Linked DNA regions of Mus musculus: region 2 is reported to be linked to region 1. The links are microRNA targets in miRTarBase. Many come from high-throughput screens and were not tested one by one. Region 1 holds a microRNA gene; the other region holds the end of a gene's coding sequence.

Region 1 (7,121 bases):
CAAACCACACCAATGCTCAGTGTCCCACTGACCCTGGGGTCACATTTCTACTCCTTCATCATGGGACCTTTCACCTGTGTCTGCTTCAGGACAACATTCTTTCATGTGTCTGCTTAACAAGACATCCTTTCACCTGTGTGCCCCAGCAAACTATCATTTGATATAACTGACTTTCCAAACCAGAAGTTTCCACTTGAGTGGAGCTTGTGAGAAAGGAAACTGGAAAAGCCTGCGTGAGAGGGTTAACACAAGCAGACTGTCAGAACAAAGTTCACTGGCAGAGCACACCATAGGTGAATGGTGAGGCCACAATGTCAGCAGTGGCCACACACACACACTAACCAGCAGTATGTATTGGGTATTCATGTGTGCCAAGCACTATCCTGAATGCTTGTATATACACATTAACTCATTCCATAATAGAGGAGGCAATGAGACAAATGACTTGCCCACGGTCACGCAGGTGTGACAAGCAGAGATTTTACTTCTTACCGTTTGGAAACGCTGCCAGTCATGGTGGACATGGTCACACCAAAACGTCACAGACACCCCTCACACACATAGCACAGCAGACTCGTCCTATCTAGTGACAGCGCAGCTTCAAATAAAAATCATGCGAGACACTCTCATCTTCTTCCCTTTCATTTGAGTGTGTGTCGGGGCCATGTGTGCGTCTGAGTGGGTGCTGGAGGAGACAAGAAGGCATGGACTCCCCTGGAGGGGATTTACAGGCAGTGCGACATGGGTGCTGGGAACCAAACTACTATTCTCTGGGAAAGCAGTAAGAGCTTTTAACCAGGAAGCCACGTCGTCGTCTCCAGCCCCCGCTTTCTTTCTTTCTTCTTGAGATTGGGTCTTACTATGTATCTCATTATTGGACCAGGCTGACCTCAAACATGTAGAGATCTGTCTGCCTCTGCCTCCTGGGTGCTGGGATTAAAGTGTGAGCCACCACATCTGGCCTTTTTTCTTTTAAAGGAAAAACCAAAACGTCTCTCATTTATTTTGCCTGTGTATGATGTGTAAGAGGTGTGGAGGTCTGAGAGCTGTCAGGAGTGGGTTCCCTCTTCTATCACATGGGCTCCCAATTTTTGAGCTTGGGTCATCAGGCTTTGTGGCAAATGCCTTATTCACTGAGACATCTTGACAGCATCCATTTTAAGTAAACCTTTAGCTGAACTATAATAGACACAAGAAATATTACACAAGTATTAAATGTACATCTTGACAGACTTAAGACCAGTGTGACAAGCGGGTCCCAGAAACCCCTTCTTTTGCTTGGTAGTCCCAATAGTGATCACTGTCCAGACCCCCCCCCCAAAATGTATTTGTTTTCTGTTATATATAGAATTATATGTAGGTATGTATGTATATAATTCTAATTATTCTAATTATTATTCTAATGCATGCTGTCACATCTGACTTCTTTCATCCAAGATCTCTCTTCACTGTTGCACATAGCTGGACTCTGGTGATTCTGGCTGTTCTGTCCGTGTCCATGGTAGAAATAGGTTGTAATTGCTTTTCCATTCCATTCTTTTTTTTTTTTTATAAAGATTTATTGTTATAGCTGTCTTCAGACACAACAAAAGAGGCCGTCAGATCTCATTATGGGTGATTGTGAGCCACCATGTGGTTGCTGGGATTTGAACTCAGGACCTTTGGAAGAGCAGTCAGTGCTCTTACCCACTAAGCCATCTCGCCAGCCCCTTCCATTCCATTCTTTGTGTTGTTTCCAGGTTGTTGCTACTGTGAAAAGAGTCCCAAACTTTCCAGTATTCATATCTTGGTGTTCATACAGACACCACATTTTGTCCTAGTGAGGTTTCTAGTGATGTAATAAACACCATGACCAAAAGCACCTCGTGGAGGGAAGAATGTAGTTCAGCTTGCAGTGATAGTCCGTTATGAAGTCAGGGAAGGAACTTAAAGCAGGAACCTGGAGGCAGGGACTGAAACAGAGACCTTGGAGGAATACTGCTTGCTGACTTACTCCCCAAAGCTTGTCCAGCCTGCTTTCTTAGAGTGTTCAGAGGTGGCACTGCCCTCAGTGGTGTGGGCTCTGCCACATCAACTACCATCAAGAAAATGGCCCCACAGACTTACCCATAGGGCATCTTGATTGAGGCCCTTTCTCCACCAAGGTTCCCTCATCCCAGCTGACCTAGTTTATGTCAGGCTGACAAAAAACTAGGCAAGCACACATTTCTTCTGTTGAGTGTTGATAGCTTGGGAGTGGAAAGTGTTGGAAAACGGGGTTGGTATAAGTTTTTCACTGGAAGACTATCAGTTTTCCAAAGTATCTCTACCAATTACACAACCTGATTCAAGGAATGCCAAGTTGCTCTGCTACCCCATCTACATGGTCTTTCTCATTCCCGCCATTCTGGCTGAGGAGGCCCGCTCTCCACTCGCAGCGTCTGGCGCGTACTTGGCACTGTTCATGGGACTGTTCAATGAATGAATGAACAAATTAAGTTGGGCAGCGTAGAATCAAACAGCCTGGAGAGGGCAGACGCGCGCACAGAGCATTTCAGGGACGCCCACCCGCCGCGGACGCACACCAGGACAGTCCCTCTCGCGCACCCCTGAGCCCACGTGGCCGGAACGCACCGCCTCGCTCGGGCCGCGCGCGTCCAGCCGCACAGCTGCCCCCCAGCTCTCCCTCTCCGTGGCTGGCAGAGGGCGCTGTGCGTCCGTGCGCCCCGAGGGGCGGGCCCGGGCCGGGGCGGGGCTGGCCGGGCTTCCAGGCCGGGGCTCTAGCAGCCCGCGCCGCCCGGGCCGCTCCGGGGACGGGCCGGGGCGGGGCGCGGTCTTAGGAAGCCAGGCGGGGACGCGCGGAGGCGTTGGGGAGCGAGGGAGGGCGCGGCCAACTCCCGGAGGGACGGCAGGCCGAAAGAGCGGCGCTGGGGCCTGGCGCTCAGCCTGAGATCGCCGGACCACAGGCCGCCCCGCCACGGGCTCTGTCCCGGCCCCAGCCCCGCCAGCATGGCCGGCCGGACCGTGCGGGCCGAGACCCGGAGCCGGGCCAAAGATGACATCAAGAAGGTGATGGCGACCATCGAGAAGGTCCGGAGATGGTGAGCGCTGCCCCCGGGCCAGGGATACAGCCAAGCCACCTCCTCCAAACGCGTCCGCCCTTTCCTGGCCCGCTGCCCCCGCCCACCAGCTGTGCTCTGAATCGACAGGGCGCCCCCTTTCCCCGGCAATTCCCAGAGGTCTACAAAGCGTGGTCCGGAGTGGTGCTTTCCCTGAGCGGGAGCCCTCATCTATGCCCCGCCCCCTGAAGCTTTTGACACTCTAGCAAGCTTGGCCCCGGGTCTTCATTGCCAGAGTCCCTGGCCAGGCCTTGGTGGCGCCCTGCTGAGTGCCCCAGGTGTCTGCAAAACCGCAGCTCCAAGTTATATCCGTTTCTGCTTTGCCCTGGGGTTTGAGGGCTCTTTCTGCTTCTGTGCCAGTGTTAGCGAAGCTGTCCCTACCCTAGCACACCTCCCTGACCTCCAGTCTGTGGGGCTCATCCTTGGGCCTCCCTGATCCAGTCTCCTGACCTCCCACAGGGAGAAGCGCTGGGTGACTGTGGGAGACACTTCCCTTCGAATCTTCAAGTGGGTGCCTGTGGTGGATCCCCAGGAGGAGGTGAGCAAGCCCCAACCCCCAACAGGCCTTGCATCTGTGCAGCCTCAAGCAATTTCCCTCCCAGCCTTGGCCTCCACCTTCAGTCGGCTTGGAGACTCCAGTGTGGAGCCCAGGCAGATGGTAACGATTATTAGGGGGCGCGAGCGCACTTACACACACACACACACACACACACACACACACACACACACTTTCTCCAAGTTCAAGGCCTAACTCAATCTACACAACCTGATGCAGCACCTTTCGCTTCTCTGAGCCTAGGTTTCCTTATTCGTATTGAAGGGCTTTGTAAGAGCTCCCTAGACAACTAGCTCTGATCTTACCTCTCTAACCCCCAGGAGAGGCGGCGGGCAGGAGGCGGGGCAGAGAGATCCCGTGGCCGGGAGAGACGTGGTAGGGGCACCAGTCCCAGAGGGGGAGGCCCCCTCATCCTACTGGATCTCAATGGTATGTAGAGATTCTGGAATGGAGTTGGGTGGGGGGGACTGAAGGAATCCCCTGGGGATCTCTGGCTAATTAACGCGCGGCTTTTGCTTCATCAGATGAGAACAGCAACCAGAGTTTCCATTCTGAAGGTTCATTGCAAAAGGGTGCTGAGCCCAGCCCTGGGGGGACGCCCCAGCCCAGCCGCCCTGGATCACCAACTGGACCCCCAGAAGTGATTACTGAAGATACTCAGCCCCCACAATTGGGTCAGGAGAGAGGTAGGGCCCTGTGGCTCTCAGGAGCCCTCTCATCAAAGTTGAACCCACCATCCTGTCCTTGTTTCTTATATTATGTCCTCTCACCCGGTCCCGCCTCCCTCAGGGAATCTTCCCTGACCCTGGCAGAGATCACCTCCAGCTGTGCCTCAATCCTCCGGCTTCTTAGATCTGTAGGGAGCATATCACCAGCTGACTTTTTTTTTTTTTTTTTGCAGATTTATTTCTTTGCTTGCTTATTGTCTTTTTCTGTTATCATCTCCTGTCAGCCATACCGATCTTGATCATGTGGGATGCGTAATAGATGTTCAGGGAATAAATAATTCCAATAATCATAGGGATTAATAGCAGTAGATTAACAGCTAACAGAACCGCTTGTCTGTGAGTCGTTCCTCTGAGCACTCCGAAGTTCTGTTGTTTGTTTTCGCATTTAATCTTCACTGTCATCTTTTGGGACCAATGATTCTATCATGAGTCCTCTCTGTACACGAGGAGACCAACATCCAGAGAAAGATGCCCAGACTTAAGAGCCAGTGAGCAACACCTTGGGCCTGAGCCTTCTTCAGCTCCTCTGTCTTCAAATAGTCCACCCCTTGTCTGGTCAGTACCACTTCCCAGGCGTGCCTGACTCCTGTGCCTTTGGCTCTGCCTTCTCGTTTCTCCCTTGTACCTGCTCTGGCCTCCACGCCTGTCCCCGGTGGCTGCAGAGCAGCTCTCCTAAAGCACACGTTCGAGACGGCTATTTTCCTGCCTCACATCCTTCTTCGGCTCCCCGCAGCCTCTGGTTCCTTCACTTCACACTGAGGCCTTGACAAACTGTTGCCGCCAAAATTGTTCCCCTGTCAAGAACACCATGACATGGCCCCTGGGCCATACCGAGATTGTTCCAAATACTTTTGCTAATATAAACGGATAGGGCAGGGGAAGCGTCCAGTGGTAGGTGCTTATCTGACATGCCTAAGGCCCTGAGCCCCATCTCTACTACCACAGAAATGTAAGAAATGAATGAGTAAGTGAATGAATGAACTTGCTACCTGGCACTTACTGAGCAGCTCCACCCTTGACCCCCACACACAGCAGCCTCTCGTGGTCTGACTGACACTATTTCCATTCTGCAGATGATTTAGGATCCGTGGTTGCTAAGCATCTATTTCTGTCTGCCTAAGTTCTGCTCTACCTCTGTTGTCTCCTGGCTCACTCCCCACTAACGAGATCCAACCTGACTGAGTCTGCCTTCCTTGGCAACTAGGGATCCCCCTCTGCTGCTGCCATATGTGACCAGTGCCTGCCTGCTTCTTTTGTCCCTGATCCATTCTCCCACCACAGAGTAGCTGCTTAGGAAGTCTCTCTTTGCTTGGTATTACAGATCCAGGGGGGACACCTGCAGGCGGTACTGATGAACCCCCAAAGCTGACCAAGGAGGAGCCTGTTCCAGAATTGCTAGAAGCTGAGGTGAGAGAGGCCAGAGTCTGCACTCTGGCCTTGTGGGGACTGGAGGCTTTGGGGAAGCAGGGAGACTTGGTGCTAGGCTTAGCTGGAGGTTGGATTCTTGGGTGAAGAGTATTACAGACAGCACCCTGAGGGCTGCATCATGGCTGGTAGAAGAGCAGCGAGAGCCTGGAATGATCTTGGTGCTCCTCTAAGGACTTAAAAAATAAATAAATAAATCTAGGCTCAGAATGCAGCTTGGTGGAACGTCACTTCCTAAGCGTGCGCAAGAGCCTGGGTCCCCTGCGTTGCACAGACACACGTCCTGAGCTGTAAACTTAGCCTACGACAGTGCCTTCCCCTAGAAGAACTACCTTGATTTGCTTTTCAGAAAAATCAAGTTCTTTCCCCCAAACACTGTTGCTATTGTTTTTGGTGCCTTACCCTACATTCTGGTTACCCGGTCCTGGGCCAGACTCTGGGTTCCCACGGGAGCAGAGTGGAAAAGGCAGAGGCTAGGAGGCTGTACTCTCGGGTTAGAGTGGAGCTCACACCTGTCCGCCCTTCCTCTTCAGGCCCCCGAAGCTTACCCTGTCTTTGAGCCAGTGCCATCTGTCCCTGAGGCAGCCCAGGGTGACACAGAGGACTCGGAGGGCGCCCCCCCACTCAAGCGCATCTGTCCAAATGCCCCTGACCCCTGAGAAGCCGCCTGCCTCCTGTCCTGTTGCTCCAGGGGCCCCTTTGGCTTTTTATAAATAAAGACCCTTTTGTAATTTTGTGTCATGTCATTTCCCTGTCGAGGCTGGGGAGGGTCTTTGGAGACAGTTTTGGCTCATGCTCTGTTCCTCAGATGGGGTCACGAGGCTCTGAGATGGCCTGTAGTCACGCCATGATTACATGTGGGGTGAGGGCTTGAGCCAGGACCTCGCCTCCCTTGCACCCCCACCTTGCCCTTCAGCGACCTTTACCCTGCCCAGGGCCCAGCAGATTGCAGTCCCCAGTTCACTCACAGGAACCCAGGCCCAGAGGAAGCCCCCAGACCGCTCCCCCCCTCAGGAAGGTGCAGCATTGTCTCCAGCTGAGCCATCCCTTCCATGTGGAGCCATAGGCCCACACTTCTGGCTCTTGTGTAATTATCATCTCCTCCTAGATGTCTTCCCCTGATGCTAGACTCCCATCAGCATCAACACCTTTGAGTTTCTACAGACCTTTAAGCTTCCTTCCCTTCATCTCAATATTTATCAGGCTGTTTTCTCAATATTTACAGACTTTGAGTCTGTATTTCTGTCTTTTAGGCTTCAGGCCTCTCAAGGATAAAACTAGGTTCCCAGCTGTTCCTAGCTCAACGCTGGGGAC
Region 2 (7,121 bases), not on the chromosome of region 1:
GAGGAGGAGGAATGGCCACATGGAGGGTTACATAACACTAAGGATGTTTGAAAAAGATATAGGGAAGTATGACTATCTAAAATTATGTACACATAAAGAGAGGGAAGAAGGAAGGGTAGAAGGAAGGGAGAGAGGGGAAGAGAGATGAACTGAAATTACACACACTAGGGGGGCAATGCTTCCCTCCCCCTAAAACAATAGACTAATAAAAATCCCAAATGACAGGCATGAACCGCCCCCCCCCTTGAATTGTTAGTCAAGAGAGTCCAAGAGACCTCCTAAAACAGTACAGGCCATTGCCTTTGTCCCTGGTACTTGCCAGAGAAAGAAGGTAACATCTTGAAGACATCACACTTAGGGCACAGGATCTGGTGGAAGTGATCTGGAACTGAGAGGAGAGCTTACTCCAGCAGTTTCCCATGCCAGTATAACCTCTAACTGTATTCTGATGCTTATTCTCACCCTGAGAGATTAGTGTAGCTCTCTCATCCCTCACCAAAGAAGCCTCTATTTACAGCAGATGGGGACCGTTACAGGAAGCCACAAATGGTCAAAGTGCAGAGCTCAACTGAGCATTGAATGCTTGCCCCTGCTGAATGCATTGACAACACAACCTCTACATTGAAGGCTCAGGGAACATCAAAGAAGAGGCAGAAAGACTGTAAAAGCCAGAGGGCCAGGACATGTACTGCAAGACAGTATCTTCCAGAGAAGGAAAAGGCATAAACAGAGTGTGGAGGTGTTGTTCTGGAAGAAATTCTAGGATAGACCTGGGGTGAACATGATCAGGACACACTGTATAAAATTCCCCATAAATAAAAAGTACTAAATGCCTACTGTGTGCCAAACTTCGTTCTTGAGAACACAGAGGTAAACAACAGCTATAATTCTTGCCTTCCGGATGGTTCTAACAGTCTGGTAAAGATAACACCTATTCTTATGGAATCCTTGTTTTTTGTTGTTTTGGTTTTTCGAGACAGGGTTTCTCTGTGTAGCCCTGGCTGTCCTGGAACTCACTCTGTAGATCAGGCTGGCCTCGAACTCAGAAATCCACCTGCTTCCCAAGGGCTGGGATTAAAGGCATGTGCCACCACTGCCCAGGTGTTACTTAAGTGTTTTGTGACAGACACCCAGTGATCTTGAATGCAACATCCCTCTTATTCTCTCTTCCATAGCAGCCTGGCACAGACACTGCTGTTTGTCAGAGGCAAACAGTTATACACAACTTCAGTTTCTTCTCTTTGTTCACACCTTCGTAATATGTGAAGTAATTTAAAGTGACATAAGAAAATTGGTAGGAGTCATAAAAGGTAGGCCACAGAGGTTAATTTTAATTGGTGTGTACTGAGGCTATATCTCCAACCAGTGCTTAAATTGTTCCCACCTAATGTAGAAAGAGAAAACATTATCTTTGCATTATTCCTTCAAGATTGTGGGTTTTCTACATTAACAGTATAGATATTGTAAAACCACTTAAGATTTGTCTGTGTTTTCATATTTACCCAAAAAAGGTTTTAAGTGTGCCTCATCTTTTCCAGAATGTCATAAAATACACTTACACTTAAATTTTTTACACTTATAAAGTTAGGCAAACATAAAACTTCATTTGGGATTTTATTCTTAGAAACAGCCCAGGAAATACATAGTAGGTTAACTCCATTTTAATAATTGCTCTGGTCATAAAAGAACATTAAAAAAAGGATTTCAAATACATTTACGGTGTATCAAAGTGTGACCCTGAAACAGGACTATGGGAAAAGGAAGTTTGAAATTCTATTATCAGTGACTTTCTGTAAGCACAGTGTTGGTGTGTCCTATAAAATTTGACTTTAATAACTGATCATTTCCATTATCTCAAAGATAATTAGCCACGAGTCTGGTCTTTCTGAAACAATATCGAGAAACAATACAATAAAAAAATGTTTAAAATAACATAATATTTAAAACTCTTAATTTATCAGTTTCATATATGCAATTTCCAACATGGGTCAAATAATCAAAACACAGTTAAAATACATTAAAAAAGCAAACAGAGTGGGTTTATGCTGACATTTTAATACTTGAGAAAATATAAGTTAAGTTGGATACAAATACTGCTGACATGAAACAACAACAACAATTAAAAAACAACAGAATATATACAAATCCAAACTGACACAGAGATGGCATGAAACTTGGATGTAAGAATACATCAAAACCTTTATTAGCTCCTTTTAAGGAAGTAACAGATTTTTAAATTAGACAGAAATAAAAAAGACTGCAGAAGAAATTATTTTCTCCAAACTATTCCTTTATCCATTATGAAATCAAGCTGATGTGGTACCCGAAACCTGCAAACCCAGTACTCAGGAGACTGAGGCAGGAGGATTGCTATGAGCTCAAGGCCAGCCTGGGCTACCTAGAGAATGCCAGGCAAGCTGCATCTGCGTGATGAGACTTTGTGGAGATGACAGGCCAAGGGCACTAAAAGTCCATACATTGGGAAGGTGCTCTCTTCAAACACCTCCCCAGAAGCAGAGTGTAAAAAGAATCCCTTCATGGGCTGGTGAGATGGCTCAGTGGGTAAGAGCACCCGACTGCTCTTCCGAAGGTCCAGAGTTCAAATCCCAGCAACCACATGGTGGCTCACAACCATCCGTAACAAGATCTGACTCCCTCTTCTGGTGTGTCTGAAGACAGCTACAGTGTACTTACATAAAATAATAAATAAATCTTAAAAAAAAAAAAAAAAAAAAAATCCCTTCCCGTCCCTGTTCAGCTTTATATAATTACACATTAGCAAAGCATTCCAAAACAAAAACATTCTATTTTTAAGAAACCACACATGTGTCTTCCAGGTACATCAGCATTTTATGCTTAATATTTGGTTTATTAAATATTAAACACAAAAAGACCTTATGTAATTTCACACTAGTAGTAAAAAGAAGTGAGTACAACTGCATTATACTTGTTTTTTAAATTGTGGCAAAGATTTATCAGCTCCTTTAGAAAATACCAAAATACATCAGAAAGAATTTAACTTTTTTAATTTGGGAGGGAAAGATATTTACTAATTGATTGATTGCATGTATGAATGTTTTGCCTGTATGTGTGCAATATGAATGCCTGGTGCCTGTGTTCTGGAGGCCAGAAGCGAGCATCAGATACCCTGAAACAAGAGTTCTGGATGCTTGTGAGCCACCCCGGGAGTGCTGGAAATAGAACTCAGGTTCTCTGCAAGAATACCAAGTGTTCTGAGTTGCTGAGTGTTCTCTCAGTTCCCATGGAACTGAATTACTTATTCACATACAACCTATGCTTAGGAAAGACAAGGTACACACACAAAGAAATTCACCCTATATGACTACAGTTGGAGAAATGCTACTGAACAGCAGACAAAAACAAAAAACCCAATCTTTATCTTAAATAAATAATCCTAAAGTTAATTCGGGAATTTGTGCCAGGTGTCTGAGAATATCTTTATTCTTGATTACCCAGCACAAAAGATAATGTTTATAAAACTGTACAATGTACTGAGTCATAGGTTTAGTCTGCCTATAGTGTAATTTATATTTTTCTTTTAATTCTCAGAAGTTACTGATCTAGAAATAGTTTCGGCGGCCCTCTCTATGAGGGAATAGCCTCTCTAAAGCTACAATCCTTCCTCTCTGAAAGGTGTGTTAGATATTCCTGATTACAGAAATGCCCCTGGCATCTCTTTTGAGTGCTAAGAGGTGCTTTCAAAGATGTACATATTGCCATTAGTGATGCTCAGAACCGGAACGTTTGGCAAGTTTTTGGTGGTTTTCTGTTGTAAGGGATCCTGAGTAGATCTTTGATTTTATGCATACTGCTTGGGTAAAGATCCAGTGGTCTTTACCCAAGGTTCTCTTGCTGTATGTAGGTCTAGAGAATGCCAGCAGCCAGCCACGATGCTCACTCATTCAATGATGGCAGGTCTGGGTCAACTATTTTGTTTGTGTTAGAAACCGTATTTGAAGGGGCCGAGGAGGAAGCTCAGTCGCAATGCTTATCTATCAATGTAAGACACCATAGATCCTCAGTCTCACAAAGAAAAGAAAGGAAGAGGAGGAGGATGGAAAGCAGATTTTAAAGGGAGGGCATCTGAGTTATAAAAGAGGAGTCAAAGTGACAATTTTTTTTGAGGCGTGTCTCTAGTGCATAGCTGAACATGACCTTGAATTTCTGATCCTCCTGCCTCCACTTTCCAAGTAATGGAATTACAAGCGTGTACCTCTTAGACCTGCTTTTCCTTCCTACAACTTAGGATAACTGGTAATACCATAGTTACTTAACACCCTTAAAAGTTCCCAAAGTACATTAATAAACTTTAAATAGTGACAAGCCTGTACATAAATCATTTACAAGTATCCCTGTGGGTGGAAGGTGTTTATGCTGTCATGAAATCATTGGATATTCCTGACGAGAATCTGCCTACAGAACAGAAGGTACACTGTCTGCTGGGCACTGGAAAACTGAGCACAACATGGCCTTACTAATGAAGATGAACATAATCTGGAGACTAATTAAAATCGACAGTGTGCTAGCAAAAGAAATACAAGTCACCTGATGAGATGTGTGCATAGCATCACACAAAGGTTCTCTTAATACCATCTTAATCTTTTGTACGCGTCAATATATGTGGTGTGCATGCATGTATGTGAGTCTGTGTGTATATATGCATTCATAGGTGTGTGTGCGTGTGTGTGTGTGTGTGTGTGTGTGTGTGCATATGTGAACAGGATATATGTATGAGTCTGTACATAGAGAGAACAGACATTGACTTTGGGAATCTTCCTTTTTTACTAAGGTAGGGGTGGTCTCTCAAAAGAGCTGCCTCTCATCCATCGGCTCCTCTCGCCAGCCAGCTTGTCCCAGGAAATCCTGTCTCTTCCTCCTGAGTGCTGGGACTACAGGCAGACCATCAAGCCCACCCAGATTTGTATGTAGGTATGGGGACACAAACTCCAATCCCCATGCCTGTACTAGACATGACTTATCCATTGAGCCACCCCCCATCCCTTTTAATTTTAAGATCATTAAAACCTAATTCTGGTATCAAAACACATTATTTTAATGAAAAAATTTATATGTACATATAGGAAATGTCTATTTAAAATATCTTAGTATGCTAAAAGCTATTAAATGTTTCCCTGTCACACTGCACAGACTTCATCTAAAAATATAAGATACAAAGTGTCTAGATTATATATATATATATTTTTTTTTTTTAAAAAACTTAATTCTTACTAAATTTCAGCTTATGATTCAATAAGTTAACTTACTTGGTTGAGTTTTTTTTTCTTTTTATCAAAAATATTGGTTATAAAATGATACAGTATTAAAAAGCCAAGTTTAATTAAAAAACCAAATAGTCCCTTCTGATACGGAAATATTATAGAGATTTAAATAGTAAGAATTCCATTTAATCCAGAATAATATCAAAGTAAACAGCAGGAGCCATTGGTACTTAGGATTGCTGGACCAGGATTCCTGACCAATAAATTAGGTGCCTATTACAGCACATTTCAAAACCTTGCTGGCTTCTACTGTGTACCCCTGCCTCAGCCTTCGGAGCTGGGATTACAGGCACACACTAGCGCCAAGCAAACCATTGCTTTGTGGCTGAGCACAGTAACTAGTGTTTAAGAGTATCGGAGTTGCTATTAGCAGATAACCTCCACAGTTAACCTGTGTTCAAAAATATACCACCAATAGTTAAAATTCTAGTAGTGTTCTTGGACTTTTACACTTCCCTCAAACAGCAGACATCATTAGCAAGATGATACAGGTCAAAACTCACACATTTGTCCATTGATACACAAAATGCATGGGTCCTTTCCCTGACCCAGCTTCATCCCATCTTGACTTCATGTCTGCAGCTCTCCGGACAGACACAAATAGGAAGATCTTTGGTGATCCTTGTGGCTCGCCATTCATTGATCACCCTGATTTGCTGAAACGATACAAGTGTATTTATTTCCTAAGCTTCTTATTTCCGGTCATAACAAAATAATGGTCATCTTCTTCCTTCTTCCTGGCAGTGGGCATTTTATCTCCGCTGTCTGCCCCCTTACCAGATGAGGGTGGGTCCCTGAAGGAAGTTGGTGGCTTGCTGCTTTTGGGAGGCCCTTTAGCTGAGTACTGGCCCTTCATGGCAGTCTTGGCTGACTTCGAGACAGTTTCTGTCTTGGTAGCAGATTGGGGAACAGTCACAATAGACAGCGGGGTACGGCCAGGAGACTTTGAAGAGCCAGGTCCCGGATTCCGGCAGACACCCTTACTCTGAGGTTGCTTTTTGGCAACTGAAACTGTATTCTTACCTTTCGATCCCTGAGTAGCTTTTGCAGAGGACCCTGAGCACACAGAAGCTGGACTGTTTAAATTCAATGTAGACTGAAGTCTTTGTGCTGAGACTGCTCCTGACCTCGGCGTTCTAGTGGGTGGCTGAGACTGTGTCCCTAGACCTATGGCTCCGGTTTTAGAACTGGGCTTGGTCACTTTGGCAGGTGGCTGGAAAGGAGAAGGGTTAGGCCTTCCGTGCATGGCTCCTTTAGGTAGCTTTGGGGACTTGGATGATAAGTTTATACGTGACTCATCCCTAGAAGAAAGATGATTGTGTTTCAAATGCTTTGGTTCCATTTTTCCAGGAGATTTACTTGGTAAAAGTCTGGACTTAGACAGATCTCTTGAATTCTGGGCTGGAATAGCCTTGGTCTGTGCAGTCTTGGGGAAGGTGACACATTTTCGCGATGACTCTGAGGCACACTGTGCAGTGCTTGGTTTAGACCCTGGATTTGGAGAAGCCAGGGACTGCGATACACTGTTGGAAGGAGCAGTCGTCTTTTTTGCTGCGTCCTTCAAAGATGTCACCTTGGGATGTGGAAATGATGCTGGAGAATCTGGCCGTTTAGCCCGGGTAGACGGGGAAGCCAAATTACCTTTTACTGACGATGCAGGCAGACGTGCACCTGGTAGACGTACCTGTTTCTCCTTGTTCTTCGGAACACTCACTGGTGTGCCAGGTCTTAAATTTTGTTTCTGAAACATATTAACTGCTGACAAAGGGTTCATTTCTGGAGGCTGAGGCGTTCTGGCAGGCGAATCTGGCACGCTTTCAT

Evidence for each region. The annotated mature microRNA mmu-miR-762 reads GGGGCUGGGGCCGGGACAGAGC and lies in region 1 at 2,961-2,982, opposite strand. An mRNA with a match to its seed (bases 2 to 7 or 8) in the 3' UTR can be bound and repressed. Matches are read on the target gene's strand: a 7mer-m8 pairs with bases 2 to 8, a 7mer-A1 pairs with bases 2 to 7 and ends in A, and an 8mer does both.
Region 2: miRTarBase lists Gas2l3 as a target of mmu-miR-762. Seed matches in the 3' UTR shown: 8mer at 2,539-2,546.

Annotation. Positions count from the first base shown.
Region 1 is chr7:127,704,395-127,711,515 of GRCm38, reverse strand. It overlaps Mir762 (microRNA 762), which reads right to left and starts at 3,029; the gene lies at 2,954-3,029. Bcl7c (B cell CLL/lymphoma 7C) reads left to right here and starts at 2,750. Exons shown (of 6, transcript NM_009746.2): 1 at 2,750-3,080; 2 at 3,558-3,636; 3 at 3,975-4,083; 4 at 4,179-4,340; 5 at 5,704-5,789; 6 at 6,341-6,538. The coding sequence starts at 2,989. The coding sequence ends at 6,466.
Region 2 is chr10:89,407,227-89,414,347 of GRCm38, forward strand. It overlaps Gas2l3 (growth arrest-specific 2 like 3), which reads right to left. Exons shown (of 11, transcript NM_001033331.2): 11 at 1,597-7,121. The coding sequence ends at 5,977. Among named protein-coding and RNA genes, the nearest start is that of Gas2l3, 33 kb to the right of the region's middle.